Linked DNA regions of Rattus norvegicus. The protein of the gene in region 2 interacts with the protein of the main gene of each other region in a biochemical or structural test. Links are inferred from orthologs where the notes say so. Each region holds a gene or a part of one and is shown on either strand. Other genes may lie near its edges.

Region 1 (4,202 bases), on a different chromosome or scaffold from region 2:
ACAGCCGGTTACACACGTGGGGTCAGGCTGTCTTGTGGTTTGTGCTCATGGCTTACTGTGCACCCGGTCACGTCAGGATACGTCATGCTCTGTCTTTGCACCCCAGTTACCAGGCCTGAACGCCTACAGAGGCTACTGTAGCAACCAGCTGGCGGCCAAGGCTCTTCTGGATCAGAAGAAACAGGACCCACGAGTCCAAGACTTCCTCCAGCGCTGTCTGGAGTCTCCCTTCAGTCGAAAGCTAGATCTTTGGAGTTTCCTAGATATTCCTCGAAGTCGCCTCGTCAAGTACCCCTTGCTGTTAAAAGAAATCCTTAGACATACGCCCAAAGACCACCTCGATGTTCAGCTTCTGGAGAAAGCAGTAAGTGAACCCATAAAGGGTCTTGCAAGTTTATCATGGGTGACCTTAGAAAAGCATACAGTGGTACTTTTAAATCTCACATCATCAAAAGACTGGGTTTTTATCTAGTTCTTTCCACTGGCTGGCAGCCCTGAACTAGTCACCCAGTATGGCTGTTCACAGGTATAGTGAAGAGACGGGCTGGGTGACTCTGAGTCCATTCGAGCTTTAGATTCTGTCCTTCTGTGTGAGGTCGCTCAGGAGGAAGGCAGGGAGGGGGAAGGAGGATGGGCAGATAGGCTGCAGCTGCTCCATCTGGCCTTACCCTTCTGTCTTCATCATTTCTAGATTTTAATAATACAAGAAGTTCTTTCTGATATCAACTTGAAGAAAGGCGAATCCGAGTGTCAGTATTACATCGACAAACTGGAGTACCTGGATGAGAAGCAGAAGGACCCCAGGATCGAGGCGAGCAAGGTGCTGCTGTGTCATGGGGAGCTGAAGAATAAAAGTGGCCATGTGAGTTTCCACACGAACTGAAGGGAAACCACTGCTTCCCATTCCCACCTCAAGTCCTGCGAATAAACGATGAGGCAGTTGTTAAAAATGAGCCTGCAGCCTGCAACAGCAGATTAATGCTTGTCTGTGTGACCAGCAAAGAAGACTTAAACCTCTCCACTAGCAGTCGTCCTTTCTGCTCGCGATCCATAGGCCTGCCTGTGGCTGGCTCCCGTCTCATGAGCTCTTGCCTTGGGGATGGTGTCTGGTAGCAGGGCCAGAGGTTCCAGTACCACTCACGTTTTACAGCGGGTTAAATAAGAGCAACTTTATTTTTTTAAATATTCATTACAAAAGAACCTTCTGGAATTAAGGAGTCGGGAATGCTATTTCTGGTTTCTGTGCGCTTTCCAACAGCTCCATTTGTAAGTCGGGGTTGTTTAAGAGAAAGTTGAAATGCAGCCTATCTGATTCTGTCACAGAGCCTAACTGTTCTGTGAAGGCTTGGACCTGTAGACACAGCGGAACCGTGCCCTGTGTAGCAGCTCGCACAGGGCTCCCTGTGGAAGCTGCAGTGCATAGTCTGCTGACGCCGGGTCTTCCGGATCCATGGCATTTACTCAGCTGTTGCCTAACGCTGGCCTGTGGCCAGACAGGAGAGAGAGAAGAGCTTTGGGTGGCCTGAGCTTCACTGCTCCACATCAAAGCCATGAGATCACTGTTTTATGCCATTTATAAAGAACTTAGAATCAAAGTCTAATGTCAAATTTACTTCAGCAATTAAACCCCTTATTTAAGAACTTTTGGGTGTTTTTTTCCCCTTCATTTCTGCAGAAACTGTACATTTTCTTATTTCAAGACATCTTGGTTTTGACTCGGCCTGTCACCCGAAATGAGCGCCACTCCTACCAGGTTTACCGCCAGCCCATCCCAGTGCAGGAGCTGGTGCTGGAAGACCTGCAGGACGGGGATGTGCGCATGGGCGGCTCCTTCCGAGGGGCCTTTGGCAACTCAGACAAAGGTAAGGGCGCACTCTAGGGTAGTTTACTCAAGGGAGCCAGATTAGCCCGGGAGGAAAGGGGTGAAGCAGAGTGACCACACATTTGAAGCTAACCTGGGCTTCAGAATGAGACCCCATCTTGAAAACCAACACTGAAGAGAAGAAACAAACATCCCTAAATGAGATTAGAGTCAACCCTTAGAACTTGGAAAGCAGACTGTTCCCTAGTCGTGCCTGGCACAGCATGAGTTGGTCAGGGACTCCGGCCAGCAGCTGTCTGGACAGTGTATGTCTAGTCGTAAGTGCTGGAACTCTGCTTAAGACTTCATGACCACCTTCTTAGTCTTGATTTCTTCTTTCCTCCCTTCAGCTAAAAATATCTTTAGAGTGCGCTTCCAGGACCCTTCTCCAGGCCAGTCCCACACACTGCAAGCCAACGATGTGTTCCACAAGCAGCAGTGGTTCAACTGCATTCGCTCGGCCATCGCCCCTTTCCAGCGGGCCGCCAGCCCCCTCGAGCTGCAGGGCTTGCCAGACCTGCACGAAGAGTGTGAGGAGAACAACCCTTCTGCTGGGAATCTCAGAGCCCAGCGACGGTCATGCGTGCTTCCTGGTGTTATGCAGGTAGACCATGAAAGTGTGCTGGAGTGTGGCTCGAGTGTACAGACCTCGGAGGACACCAGGAACGCAAAGGCACATCGGCCTCAGCATGGCCTGCGAAGAGCAAGGGACAAGGCGCAGTTGGGTGGCAAAAAGAAAGAGACTTTGGTATGAGTGTGTGTGTTCCCCGGTGGGAGCTGTTTATTTATAAATGTGTACAGTTTTCTTGTAACGGGAGCGTCGAGGGCTACTCTGTACCAGATGTAATATGTCCATGGATTGGGTCTCTCTCTCATCCTCTCCCTCTCCCTTCCTCCCCCCCCCCAACCCCCACGTCCTCGTCTGCGTTGTCGTCATTGTCGTTGTTGTTAATGGCAGCTAAAGATACACAGGTTACTGTTAGAGTGAAGACTTTGAAGGGGTGTTTTCATGGATGGTGGCTTTTATCAGAAGAAATGTGGCAGAACCAGTGTCGTCCATGCTGGTAGACCGTGACTTTCCACCAAATGCCAGTGTTTGCCAAGCTTAAACCTTGCAAATGCTGAAGTTCCGTCAGCGTTCTTTGTTAGAGCTCAGGTGGAGTGCGGAATTTTAATAATGACACCTGCAGTCTACATGGGCGAGGTCTGAGTTTGAAATATTTCATATTTACAGGGAGCGCTGCTTCCTTGGAGAACAAGCATAAAGCCTGTTGTCTTCCCCTTTTCTCAACTGGAACGAACGAACGAACACCGTGTCAGTCTCACACGGTTCTCCTTCTCCATTCATTCATTCTGCCAACTATTTAATTTTTTTTTATTGTAAAGTAGTTTTTAGTATTTGCTTTTATTTTTTTACGTTGATGCCTTTTTAAATTGGCATATCCTTGAAGTTTTTCCTCCTGATTTTGTGTGTGTGTGTGTGTGTGTGTGTGTGTGTGTGTGTGTGTGTGTGTCATATTAATTTTATCAAGTGAAACCAAGCCATATTGTTTGAGCCAATTAAGAAAACAGCAGTTTTTACAGTGTATCATGTCAGGGTGATAAAGTCCCATGAAATGACTTAGTGTATTCTAGACTACTGAAAGAAACCACAGGAAGGGTGGGTGGAAGTTTTTGTGTTGTCAGAAAAGCAAGAGAGAAGGCAGGAGACTGGGATAGTAAAGGGAAGGGAAAGAGTAATTTGTCTAAAATTGTCTGGCTGAACCAGAGGAGCGGAGCTAGGAGCAGCCTGACCTGAGGGTATGTAGGAAGTTGGAGAAGGCCAGGGGGAATGTGAACTCTGTTTGCTTTGGTTTCTCATACCTGCAAATGCTAAATTTGAGAAGAAGCCACACGGCGTGTTGGAAATTTGGTTAATTCTGGTTGGTTTTCTTCATTCAAGAAAGCTCGTGATTCTTCACTGCAAAATGTTTGCATTAGAAATGGGGTCATGCTCTTTAAAGGGGGGAGAAGGACAGAGGCCCCATGTCAGCCCAGGGTTTTACTGGTGATCAGTTCAAGTCATTGTTAACCATTATGTGAAATATATCTCCAGTGGAACTGAAAATTGGAAAAGGCTGTAAATAAATCAATCAAATGATTTCTTTGTATAAACGAATTATACAATTAAAAAAAAGCACACACATAATAACCCAAAACACTTCTTGCCTGGTGGTTATTTGGGGGGCCGTCCACTGGACCATGAGGGCTTAGCTAAGGGGGGAAATAGTGCACACCTTTAATTACCCTTCTGAGATTGGTTGGTGCATAAGAAATGGCCGTAGTGTAATTCTTACAAGCC
Region 2 (4,694 bases):
GGTCCCTCTCGCCTTCGACCATGTGGATCCCAGGAATGGAATTCAGGGCATCCAGCTCGGAGGCAAGAACCAAGTGAACCATCTCCAAGCTGGATCCAAGCGGATCCAGCCTTAAGGTTTGACACATATGGGTCTCTGCCTTTCTGGTTCTGCCTCAGTAACTTCTGACGACTTTGGAAAAATTTTCCTGGGCTATGGAGCAGAGAAGTTCCTATTGCTTAAAAGCCGCTCAGTGAGCTGGGCAGTGACTCGGAGAACTGTCCCCTTCCTCAAGCTGCAGCCTCAACTCTAGAGCAAGGGTCCCTTGGGACTGTTTGCTCTGCTTTGAGGAGCTTGAAATTTAAACTAGCTGTGAGGGCTGGCAGTAGTTCAGTCTCTGAGGTAGCTACAGGTGAGAGGCTTTTTTTGTTTGTCTTTTACCTAAGACAGGGTTTCTTCTCTGTCTAGCCCTGGCTGTCCTGGAACTCACTGTAACCCAGGTTGGCCTGGAACTCAAAAAGATTAGGTTGCCTTAGCATCCTGGGATTAAAGTCCTGTGCTACCACCACCAGGTAGACAGGTGAGTTTCTTAAAGGGTCCTCCATAAGATGGGTAACTCTTGGGAGCATCACTGGGCAGGGACACATTCATGAACGCACAGATGAATGCAGGCATAAATGAATGAAAAATTTCATCATTAAACGGCTCATATTAGGAGTTAACCACTTACACCTAAAAGTCCCCTGAAACCCTCAAACGTTTACCAAACTAATCAGTCTCCGTTTTACATCCGGTCCTTAATGAAACTCCTCAAACCTTTTTGGACAAACGAATACTTTAAAAACCAGTCAAAAGTGGAAGACCCAGATTACCCCTTCCCCTCCGAAGTCCCTTCTTTCTCCGCCCCTTAACGTGGGTGACCGGCGCAGCCTGCACAAACTCCTTTTTCCCTGTTGGGGATCCACCCCGGGCGTGCCAGGTACTCTTCCAGCCTTGAAGTTGGCCAGCACGTGTTCAGTGAGGTTAAGGGGTGTCTGGAGCTTGTTTCTTGGATCTGGCGCAGGTGAGGTCACTTCTCTGTTTCAGTCTCCATCATCTCGAGTCCAGCGCGCTAGTTCAGAACTGCAGGCCACCCTGGGCTAGGGCGACGGGCAGGCTAGCTGTCCCAAAAACACTTCGGACCACCTGTAGAGCGCGTGCCAACTCCTTTGTCCTTAGAGCCACTTCGACTGGAGCGCCTCTCAGCAAGGCGCTTCCCTCTGGATGCTGAAGGGTCCCTCCTTCCACTACTCCAACCCCCTCCCAGCCCTCCTCCCTTTGCCAACCCCTAGGTAGCAGCGCCCGGAGCCCCGGGCTCCGAGCGAGCCGCCTCCTCACTTCTCATTGGCTGAGGGCGTCGGGAAAGCAGTCACGTGGGCGCGCGGCAGGCCAGCTCCAGGGCCGCCATCTTGGCGGAAAGTTTAGGGGGAGAGCGACTGGGGGCGCGGAAGGAGGCGAGGTTCCGGGGGTGGGGCGGCCCGGAGGCGAGCGGGCGAGCGGGGCCGCGAGCGGCGGCGAGAGGGCAGGCGGCGGCGGCCGAGGCGGAGAGAGCGGCGCGGGGGTGCGGCCGCCGAGAGGAGCTCCTCCCCCGTCCCCTCACCCCCTCAGCTGAGCTCGAGTCGGGGCGGGGCGGGGTACGTGGAGCGGGGCCGGGCGGGGAGCTGCTCCGAGTCTGGCCGGAGCGCACCCGGGGCGCCCGCGTTCGCCGCTCGCGGGAACTTTGCGGCGGAGCCGCAGGTGTGGAGGCCGCGGAGGGGTGCATGAGCGGCGCGAGGGCGGCGCACAGAGCGGCGGCTGTCCGGTCCGGCCCCTGCTGGAGTCGCCGCCGGGAGGAGGCGAGCGAGGAGCCAGGCAAGCGAGAGGAGGGGGCCGGAGCGGGCCGGGGGAGCAACCCGGCGCTTGGCTGGGCGCTGCGCGGCTGGACACGGGCCGGCGGGCGGCAGCAGGTGGGGAGCGTGGCAAGCACGCCGCGGCGGCGGCCCGGCTGCTCCTCTTCAGGTGCTCTTTGCGGAGGGGGAAGCTCTGGAGGAACATTCCGAAGCGGGCTTGGGTCCGATCTTAATCTGTAGGGGGCATAGCGACCCCCGAGAACCGGCTTTCTGCCTTGGCTGACACTGCTGGGGGGGTTGAGGCTCCTGCTTTTCACTTGGGAAAACTTTGAAAGGTGGGCAGTTCCTCCAAGGTTGGAGTTTTTCCTAGTTGAGAGTTTGGGACGGGGGTGGGGGGTTTGGGGGGGAACGAATGGATCCACGGTTCAGTTCTTTGCCTTAGTTCAAGTTTTTCTTCCTGTTTTGTGTTTGTAAAGGTGTGTGTGCCTTCTTCCTGCTTCTGGGAAAAAATGCCGGTCCGGAAGCAAGGTGAGAATTTATTTTGGAACTGTTTTGTGGCTGTCACTGGCTGTAACATACATCAGTGTTGTGGTTACTGTTTTTAAAAGGATTGTGTGACTTTGATGAATCAGCAGGCTCTCGCCTTTATTCCTTACGGTATCTAAGCTCCACATCATTTCAGAGGGTGGAAACACCTAGTTCGCTGCACACACCTTCTCCACATCTGTAGTGATTACTGAAGCAATCAATCAGCCCCCTGCCATGTCTTTTTAAAAACTTCGTTGCTTCAGTATTTCACTTTTCATTCATAGCACCACTATTTTGTGAACAACTGAGAGTAGCTAAGAACCGATGTTTAAAAACTTAAAATTTGGTTATAGGACCAAGTTGGAGATAACTTGTTCTTGTCTATTAGGCATTCTAAAACCAAGTTGTTACCAGTTTAATTAGATGGTCTTTAAGTATTGGAGGCTGTCAGTCCACAGCCACTACTTTCTCCTTCCTCTAGTGTGATATAAAGCCTTTAAAGTATTTTCGTCTTAGCAGGGAATGGAATATGGTTGTAGCGCTGACCCCACTTGACTTGGAGGCTCTGGGGAACTCTTTAGATGTCTTGTAGACGTAGCATGTAGCACTTTCTTGTAAGTATGCATGCAGACACAGACCCTAAATATATACATGAAATTTTCACCGTACTTGTCTTTTCAGATACCCAGAGAGCATTGCATCTGTTGGAAGAATATCGGTCGAAACTAAGCCAAACCGAAGACAGACAGCTCAGGAGTTCCATAGAGCGGGTTATTAGCATATTTCAGAGCAACCTCTTTCAGGCTTTAATAGGTGAGAATTAAAACTGTTTTACTTGTGACCACTGTACTAATGCATGGTGCTTCTCTGTCATGTGAAACTTAGAATGACAATGTGCTTGGCTCTCCGGGGACGGCCATTAACTTGGAACATCTCTACTGTGCTTATGTTTTGCAGTAGGCCACTGTTGCTTCTAAAGGTATTTAATTACCAGAAAAAACTTACTGGTATGGTTATTTCTGTGCCCTCTGAGAATACCGTTTCAAGTTTTAGAGTTACCTATTGAAAGATGGACAAGTTGTAGAAATGTTTTAGGAACATCAATGGTTCCTGAACTATTGTTGGTGTTTCTGTAGTTGACTTGTATTTCTCTGGAATCCTTGAAGATATTTGAAGGGTTCTGCTGTGTTCGAGAGCAGTCATCTCTTTGATATACACCTCTGTTAAATTTGACATTCCTATAGTATGAGTTTTAGACCTGGAGAATGATCTCAGAGGTGATGTCTAATAATTATCTTATTCTACAGATAGCATTGTAACAGTCTTATTCTTACCTACCTGTATCTTAAATATGAGATAGTTCGTTGTTTTAAAGAGTTGGACAAGTAGTCCAAAGTCCTGACTAGTTCCTGACACGGTTAGTGATTAAATATCAGAGAGCCCATTCATCCAGTTTAGGCTGGTTAGTAACTGTAGACTGTGGGCGAGTAAGTGAAGAGTGGGCTTTTAAGACTTTTAAAGACAGCAGGTTCTTTTAAAAATGAAATTTCTGTTTTTCTCACCTGACTACTGAACCAGGTGGTTTATTGCCTCCAGGTTCAATAGTAAGATTAAAAAAAATTAAGTAAGGACTGTCTAACACGTTCAAATAAGACCTATGCTTTCTCTCATTATGTCCATTTTCTCAGTAACTTCCCAGCGGATAGGCCTCACACACGTGTGTGCTGATAGATTGATTACTGGTGTGATTTGAACACTGTTGTCAATGTGTGCCTTGTCAGATAACTTATTGCTCTATTGATGCTCTTTAGCCTTGTACAGGCTTGGTAGACCTTATAACTTTTTAGAGTTTAGTGTTACTACAGACTTAAAGACATGCATTAAGGGTGGGGAGAGGGTGAACTGCCAGTGTCACCCACCCATCCTCAGAGATTATCAGCATTTTCACAATGTGAGAGGACACATTTGCACTTGTTTTCCAGGCCATGACCTTTAAGGTCCCAATAGGTCATCACCTTGGTTCCTTGGAGGAAAAACCCAGCCAATGAGGAAGAGAAAAACAATATTTTAGTTATGTAGTTTTCTAGATAACATTAAACCTAGAAATTTTTATTTAATAGAGACACATTAGGGAAAACCCTAGCATGACTTGTATGTCCTCATCTGCATACACATGTGCATATGGACTGCAGTCTGACTGTAAGGGAAAGCTGTAACCTGAGAAAACTAAATAGACTCGACCCTTACCATGTTATGGTTGGACTTGCTCTGCTTTGAGGCCGTTGTTGCATAGTCCTCTGGCCTGTTTTGAATATTTAT
Region 3 (3,431 bases), on a different chromosome or scaffold from region 2:
ATAAAGCAGAAATCCAGTAAATAGTGGCTGAATTTTAAAAGCACTCAGCTTCATTCACTAAGTCACCTGGGAGGGAAGTTCCGCCCCGTGTGCACAGGCTGATACATGGTAATCATACATGTTAAGTGTTTGCCCAGAAATCTTACAACTTGAACCAGGGACATCTGGACAAACGACTCACTGCAGGGCTAAGGGCGGGTGGGAGGACCACAGTAACGGAGCCCAGATCAAAACAGACCATCCTGTGCTGCACGGTAAGGAACTGCTTAAGGGTACAGCACAGCTGGGTCCTTTATGACTTCTCTGCGTTAAGATCTTAACACTTCGAGAAGTCAGCTTGGTCTACAGACAGTCAGGGCTATGTAGAGGGACCCTGCCTCAAAAAACTAAAACCCAACCCCCGAAAAATCCCAAGTTAAAACATAGGAGGTATTTTATACTGAGCCATACTATTTGTTTTTGTATTTTGTCTTTCCAGACAAGGTTGCTCTATGTAGCTCTGGCTGTCCTGGAACTCACTCTGTAGACCAGGCTGACCTTGAACTCAAGAGATCCTTCTGCCTCTGCCTCCTGGGATTAAAAGTGTGTGCCACCACTGCCCGGCTGAGATGTTATTTGTATTTTGTATTATTTCTGTAATTTTTCTGATAAAAATTAACAAATTAACAAAGCACCCTAGAAAAACATTGAAAAAAAATCTAGTGGATAAAATTAAGAATTTTTCTTCAAAGTAATTTTAAAACCATAATCAATGTCTATTTTTTCATTGTTTATAGTAGGTCTCACATTACACAGTGATATGCATTTAAGATCCTGCAGATAAAAACAGAGAATATGCTTTTGGTCTCTGGGTAGGCTGAGGGTTTTAAAGGTGGAAGGCCCAACCCAAAGAAGGCAACAAGAAAAACCTTCATTCACAGCAGCCCCCTGGCAGGCTGCAGCAATGTCAGAGGCCAGAGGCCTGCTTTATTTCTGAGGAAGTGGCAGCGGGGGTTGGGGGGTGTTAAGGAAAGCTATGTATCCTTCTTCAAAGAACATTCCCAAACAGAATAAATGTATTCTCATTTGAATTTAAGATAATGCTGACAGAACGCACGTCTCTGAACTTCAGTGTCTGCCTGGACATCGGGCCCCATGGCACTCAGTCACACGTAAAAGAAACTCACTTTAGCAGCAACAGCAACTTTAAATAAAAATGCAACTTATCTTAGACTTGTGGCAGGACTGGTCACCAAGGAACCACTCTGCAAAAATGGTCTCAGACATTATAGCTCATGAAAATGCAGTAACTAAGGCCCTGTTTGTTCTAAGAACTGCAATGTTTGTGAGAAAGTGAGAAATCTCAAGTCTGGATGTCAAGTTCAGAGCAAAGAATCAGTGATTTCACATTTGCAATATCTATAAATAAAACGCGTGGGTCAGATAGGAATTATATGGATAATGTCTAGTAGACAGTGCGTACAGAAGTAGGGAACACCTTACTCATTAATTATACAGATAATGTCGAGTAGACAGTGCGTACTCATTAATTAGATAATGTCGAGTAGACAGTGCGTACACAAGTTGGGAAACCTCGTTCATTAATTTTGTCACTTATCTAGTTCAGTAAAATGCTCACAAGGAAAATAACCACCTAAGGCAGAAACTTCATTCACAACTTCATGAGAGCAGACAGATCAATACTGATCAACGTCCCTGCTTCAGACTGAATCATTCATCCTCAAACAGGTCATTTTGTGAGATGGACATCCGTGTTACGCTTGAAAAGCTGAAGCACAAATACAACCGTAGAGTTGGAATCTTCAACAGCCTAGACGGAAGTCTGCTTGTAGTTTTTAGTATCCAAAACCTTTTTGCCACACATCGCACAGATGCCTGAAACAAAAGAAAGCATGTGAGCAGCAGCCAGTTGCTTTATTTATGTTAAACTAAAGCTCAGCGGGGCTGCCCGGCTCGCTCACTGGTCAAGCGCACTTGCTCTGTCATCATGGAAACTAGAGTCTGGAGTTCAACATTCACATCTGCTCACAAATCCCCATAATTTCAAATCCAAGTAGGGTGCAGACAGGAGGATCCTTGGGGTTTGCTGGCTTCTACCCCAACTGAGAAACAGGAGCCTCAGGGTCAGGGAGAGACCCCGCCTCACAAGGTGGTAATAGAGAGAGACGCCTTCTCTTGGCTTCAGGCACACATGCCTAATGCATAAGTGAGCTGCACACATGACCACACACTCAGACACAGAGAGAAGGGCAGATGGAGAATCTTTAAGAACTTCAAAACGTCATAAGAGAGAAAAAGGGATATCCTTTTGACTACAAATTTAAATTCTATTTTATCTTAGTAAAAAAGGGTATTTGATTAACAACTCTAGAAAGGTTACTCCTTTCAATTACTTAAACCAACACCAAATGAGATAGATTTAAGTCGAAAAATCGAGTTAAAGAAACATACCTTTCTTGTAGGCACAGCCTTGACAGTAATGAGAACCTGGCTGGTGTACAGAACTTTTACAAATTCTGCAAGTGGAGAACTTATTTTTTCCATATGGATCAAACCTAGAGAGTTAAAAAAAAAGATATTCATACCACAATAGAAACTTGTGTGTGTGTGTGCGTGTGTGTGTGTGTGTGTGAGAGAGAGAGAGAGAGAGAGAGAGAGACAGGCTTTCTCTGTATGGCTCTGGCTGTCCTGGTACTTACTCTGTAGACCAGGCTGGCTTCTAACTCACTGAGATTCACCTGCCTCTGCCTCTCCAGTACTGGGATTAGATATGGGTAAGCCAATTACTAAAAACGGGAGGGTGGATTCCATATGTTCTCTATGTACATATGTATGTCATATGTGTGCAGGTAGCTATGGAAGCCAGAGGGTTTGGGTTCTTTGTAGATGGGGTTACACGTGGCTTTAAGAAGCAAACTCATGTCATCTCTCCAGGACCATTCCCCTTCCCTGCCCCCCTCCCTTGGTGAACCTTGACCTCCTGATGCTTTTGCCACCAGCACCTAAGCACTGGGGTTACAGGCACATGCCATCACACCCGGCTTAGTTTTTGCTCCACTCTGAAGGTATATAATATATTCTGGTGATGGTTTCTGTGAGAAGTAATATAAACTCTCATCAGCAGACCCGACCATAAAGGGTTAATCTCAATGTCCACATGTACAGTTCACTTTAATGAGACAGGCGCATTTCCTAATGACTACTCACTTTAACAAGGTTTTTCTACTGACTCCACTTGGTCCCTTTGGATAAAGGGATTTCTACTATATGAACATTGGTATCTTACAGGAAATAGAGGGCAAATAACTTTATAAGAAATAATTCTCCTAAAACTGACTATTTGCCTTCCTCCAGAATAGCTCTTTACATTTTCTTCATGTGACATTATCGTCCTGGTGTCTTGTTTGGATTACGGCATATGAGATTCTTTT
Region 4 (4,202 bases), on a different chromosome or scaffold from region 2:
AGCTGCATTCGTTTTCCTATAAATACCATGATTCCACCTTCTTTATGTTAAACTCGGTACCACTGTATGGATGTGCCATGTTTTCTCTATTCGTAGAAATATTAACATACAATAATGTACACATACACACTGATAGTGTGATATATACATTGGTAGTATATGTCATACATATGGGAGCCAGTGGCCAATGGGGAGGAAACTCTGTGAGGAGGAACGGAGGCAGCCCGTGCACACTAAGAATCAGAATGGACTTAGGGGGTCAAAGTTCATTGGTCACCTATGGCAATGCACAGATGCTCATTTATCACACCAGGGCTATAGGGTGAAAAGAACACTGCACGTCAGTTCTATAACAGGACACAGGGATCCACCATTTGGGGGTCTCAAGACAAAACAAAAAGGAAGACGACGAGGAAGGAAACCAACCGATGCCTTCTAAGGAGCGGGGTGTGAGGTTGAGAGAGTTCTAGAAAACGAAAATTGATTAGACAGACCTGTGTCTGTCAGGGCCAACCAATGTTCCTAAGAGAAACCGGTGACACGGGCAGACACTACCTATACGTGCCCAAGTCTGCAAACAAAACGTCACACACACTATGGCTGTGTGCCACTCTAGTCAATCAAAAGTATAGTAAATATTTTAAAGTCATAAATAATTAAAAGGACGGTCTTTCTCCTGTCTCTGTCTGTCTGTCTGTCTTCTCCACATAATTTTCTCGTATTTTGTGAGTTCTGGGAACAAGCAGTATAGTGGTTTAGTTTCATTTTTCAAATAAGGTTGCATTCTTTTTTTTATTTTAAAGATTTATTTATTTATTATATATAAGTACACTGTGGCTGTCTTCAGACACACCAGAAGAGGGCATCAGATCCCATTACAGATGGTTGTAAGCCACCATGTGGTTGCTGGGAATTGAACTCAGGATCTCTGAGAGAGCAGTCGGTGCTCTAACCACTGAGCCACCCCTCCAGGCCCCAAGGTTGCCTTCTTTGCAAAGACCCAGCAGTCAGGAGAAGTCTGTAAAGTAGGCTGAAAAGTGGCCCTCACTAAAGGTGAACAGAATAAACCCCTGCTGATTGCGAACACAACCTTATCTGAGAAACAAAACTGAACCAGATCTCTGGGATAACCTTGGATGACCTCGAGAGGGCCCTAAAGGTCATCATGATATCCTCAGGATATATACATTTAGAAAATATACATAAAGATACTGAATACATCTCTCTATATATATTTAGAATATATACATTTAAAGATACTGAATATATCTATATATATTTAGAATATATATTTAAAGATACTGAATATACATATATATTTAGAATATATATTTAAAGATACTGAATATATATATATTTAGAATATATATTTAAAGATACTGAATGTATATATATATATATATATTTATTTAAAGTTATGAATTGGTTAAACAATCAGTAAATTTATTAGAGGGACTTCCAAAGGGCCTGTGGTGGTTTCATTAAAATACGCACTAGTTTACGTAGTTCTCTCTATAGGGCTTTGCTTCATCGAGTCGTCAAACTAAACTGTGGGAAAGTTATGAAAAAGGCAAGATTCAATGGCGCGTTCTAAAACGATGAAGACTTATAGAAAGCATGAAAAAACAAACAAGCGAACAAACAAAAACCCCACGTTTTCTCCAAGGCTACCAAACACATACCTTGTTAGTATCGGCAACGCTGTTCTGCCGGGCATCGAAGATAGTGAGTTTATGTGACTGCGCATTGGCATCCATGATGGTCTGCAGGTATTTCTCATCTTCTTTGCAGCGTTTATCGTTGGGACCCACCAATGGCTGGCCGCAACGTGTAATTGTGGCCTGACTCTCCGGATGAATCCACGACAACACCTGATGTTTTAGGGCAACAAATAATAAATATCCGCTGAGGGGTGTCATTCGTAATATAATATATTATCTAATTAGTTGACAAAAAGTACAATGAGACATTCTAAAAATCCCTTTCTCCTTTGAAATCCTATCACTCCAAATAAGATAAAACTTAAATCGAACTATTACTAAAATCTAATCCCATTTCTATTTGACTGTCAAGCTCCATATTTTTCTAATATAAAAACATCATATCTTTATAATAACATAAATAGCACAGTGAGGTCTCTTATCAAAAACATACATACATATATACATACATATATATAGATAGATAGATATAGATAGATATATAGATAGATATATCTCAGATCTCCCATTTTTCTACAGAGGTCCAAGGACACAAAATAATTCAGTTGTAAACTTGAAGAAACCATCCCTTCCTCCTGGGCATGATTATTTCATTCCCATGTAACTACAGAAATAAAATAAATGAGTGTTTGTATAATGAGGTATTTCTTCAGATCAAAAGTGAGCAGTGCACATAGAGGTGGGTACAGAACAGGTGAACAGTGCACATAGAGGTAGGTGCAGAACAGGTAAACAGTGCACATAGAGGTGGGTGCAGAACAGGTGAGCAGTGCACATAGAGATGTTGTGCCTGTTTCTTTCTGAACAACAAAGCTCATTACTCACAGGGACTCTGCCCTTTGCTCGAAAGGCTGACACTTTCAGAAGGTCATCATCTTTCACGCTCGTTGGCACAACGATGACGGCAGGGTAGGTATCGCAGAACTCATAATTACTGTTGATTTTGGATATTTTCCAGCTCTCATTTGGCAGGCCCTGTAGGACGTTAGAGGAAGAAGAACGGGAAATAAATAAATAAATAAATAAACAAACAAACAAACCATGAATCACATTTATTCGTTTATAACTTGCTTATTGCTATTAAAATAACGGTGCCTCAAATCAAATTAATGACAGCGTGGATCCTCATTCATCCATTCTTTATGAGGCCTGGAATGCAAAAACATCTGGAAGCACAGCTTCTTCTCCGTGGCTGCACATCTGTCCTTTCAGTACGGACAAGGAAGCTACCGCATCCCATGTGACAAGTGACGTACTCTACCTGTCTCTTGTATTCAGACACTGGGTCGTAGACTTTCCAGCCGTTAACTGGAAACTTCTCTTTATAGTTGAACGCAAACAGCGCCTAGAGACGAAAATCCACAAAACGCACGTCAGTGTTTGTTATCCCATAACAAACTATAAACCTTCGTTCATTCTGCTACCGGTTCTGTTTTAATCTGCACGTTTTAAAGTAATAACTTAGGAGCCCCCACTTCTTTCTTTTCTTTGTTGTTTTTTCTTTCTTTAATTTGTTTTTCCAGGCAGGGTCTGTCTACGTAGCCCCGGCTGTCCTGGAACTCGCTCTATAGACCAGGATGGCCTTGAACTCATAGAAGCTTTTCTTAATCATTCGTTATGCAGGAGAGATAAAATATTTGAATTTAGTTATTATGCAAGAGATATAAAATCCAAATTTTTGCATTTAGCTACGTCACAGAAAGAGATAAGGACTAAACCCAAAAGAAATGTATAAATGTGGAATTGCTGGACACCCAAGGAAGGTTTGCTTCGCTGTGCTCACCTGTCCATTGGAAAGAGGAAAAGCGTGCTTGTTGAGGTTCTCAAATATCCCAAGTTTTCTCTGTTCTTCCTGCTTATACGCGAGTCTCAGGTTCCTCATGTCCTAGGAAACGATGAACAAAGCTCAGCTATTCAACATGGAATGAGCACTTGTTAGCCAGACGCCCTGACACAGCACACACGGAAGACTTTTATTCATCCCTTGTTTTGTACTCTACAGTTTTTCAACTAACAGAAGACAAGTCAACAAGAATACTCCCAGTGAGCTTTTAAAAATTAAGGAAAAAAAGAAGGAAAAAATAGGGAATAAAAAAGAAAAAAAGGAGAAAAAAAGGAAAAAAATTAAAAAGGAAAAAATGGAGAAAAAAGGAAAAAAATTAAAAAGAAAAGAAAAAAGTTAAGAAAAATGGAATAAAGGGGACGTAAACATTGGGAAGGAGAGTCAGCAGGATAGTTAAAAATAATGTTTGCTCACATAAGATGTACAACCGCATTCTGTGCACTTCCTGGCCAAAGTGGAATTTATTGTTCAGGCTAAGCTGCTGAACGAGTCATCCGTGAAAAGGAATGTTACAAATGCTTCCCCTATGCACTCATGTGCAGAAGGTGCTTCCCCTATGCACTCACTGTGAGTCGCCTTAGCGAGTCTTTGTGTCAATAGAATAAACACTATTTCTTAATAATGATTTCTTAAAATGG

Evidence for each region. The genes of interacting proteins can lie anywhere in the genome.
Region 1: the proteins of Dlg1 (region 2) and Net1 form a complex in vitro, tested with the Homo sapiens proteins (3 studies listed by BioGRID and IntAct, with this or other methods). The link is inferred for Rattus norvegicus from reciprocal best matches to the Homo sapiens genes DLG1 and NET1.
Region 3: the proteins of Dlg1 (region 2) and Cript form a complex in vitro, tested with the Homo sapiens proteins (3 studies listed by BioGRID and IntAct, with this or other methods). The link is inferred for Rattus norvegicus from reciprocal best matches to the Homo sapiens genes DLG1 and CRIPT.
Region 4: the proteins of Dlg1 (region 2) and Mtmr1 interact in a test that uses a peptide from one of them, tested with the Homo sapiens proteins (2 studies listed by IntAct, with this or other methods). The link is inferred for Rattus norvegicus from reciprocal best matches to the Homo sapiens genes DLG1 and MTMR1.

Annotation. Positions count from the first base shown.
Region 1 is NC_086035.1:71,276,287-71,280,488, forward strand, and holds the end of Net1 (neuroepithelial cell-transforming gene 1 protein), read left to right. Parts: intron 1-106; coding exon 107-364; intron 365-691; coding exon 692-862; intron 863-1,675; coding exon 1,676-1,862; intron 1,863-2,211; coding exon 2,212-2,615; 3' UTR 2,616-4,059; downstream 4,060-4,202. UniProt on the Homo sapiens protein: Acts as a guanine nucleotide exchange factor (GEF) for RhoA GTPase. May be involved in activation of the SAPK/JNK pathway Stimulates genotoxic stress-induced RHOB activity in breast cancer cells leading to their cell death.
Region 2 is NC_086029.1:82,604,554-82,609,247, reverse strand, and holds the start of Dlg1 (disks large homolog 1), read left to right. Parts: upstream 1-1,450; 5' UTR 1,451-1,869; intron 1,870-2,323; 5' UTR 2,324-2,356; coding exon 2,357-2,375; intron 2,376-3,056; coding exon 3,057-3,188; intron 3,189-4,694. UniProt on the Homo sapiens protein: Essential multidomain scaffolding protein required for normal development. Recruits channels, receptors and signaling molecules to discrete plasma membrane domains in polarized cells.
Region 3 is NC_086024.1:13,334,222-13,337,652, forward strand, and holds the end of Cript (cysteine-rich PDZ-binding protein), read right to left. Parts: intron 2,556-3,431; coding exon 2,452-2,555; intron 1,876-2,451; coding exon 1,811-1,875; 3' UTR 757-1,810; downstream 1-756. UniProt on the Homo sapiens protein: As a component of the minor spliceosome, involved in the splicing of U12-type introns in pre-mRNAs. Involved in the cytoskeletal anchoring of DLG4 in excitatory synapses.
Region 4 is NC_086036.1:245,971-250,172, reverse strand, and holds part of Mtmr1 (myotubularin-related protein 1), read right to left. Parts: intron 3,607-4,202; coding exon 3,505-3,606; intron 3,067-3,504; coding exon 2,983-3,066; intron 2,697-2,982; coding exon 2,547-2,696; intron 1,872-2,546; coding exon 1,683-1,871; intron 401-1,682; exon of another isoform or gene 1-400. UniProt on the Homo sapiens protein: Lipid phosphatase that specifically dephosphorylates the D-3 position of phosphatidylinositol 3-phosphate, generating phosphatidylinositol. Could also dephosphorylate phosphatidylinositol 3,5-bisphosphate to produce phosphatidylinositol 5-phosphate.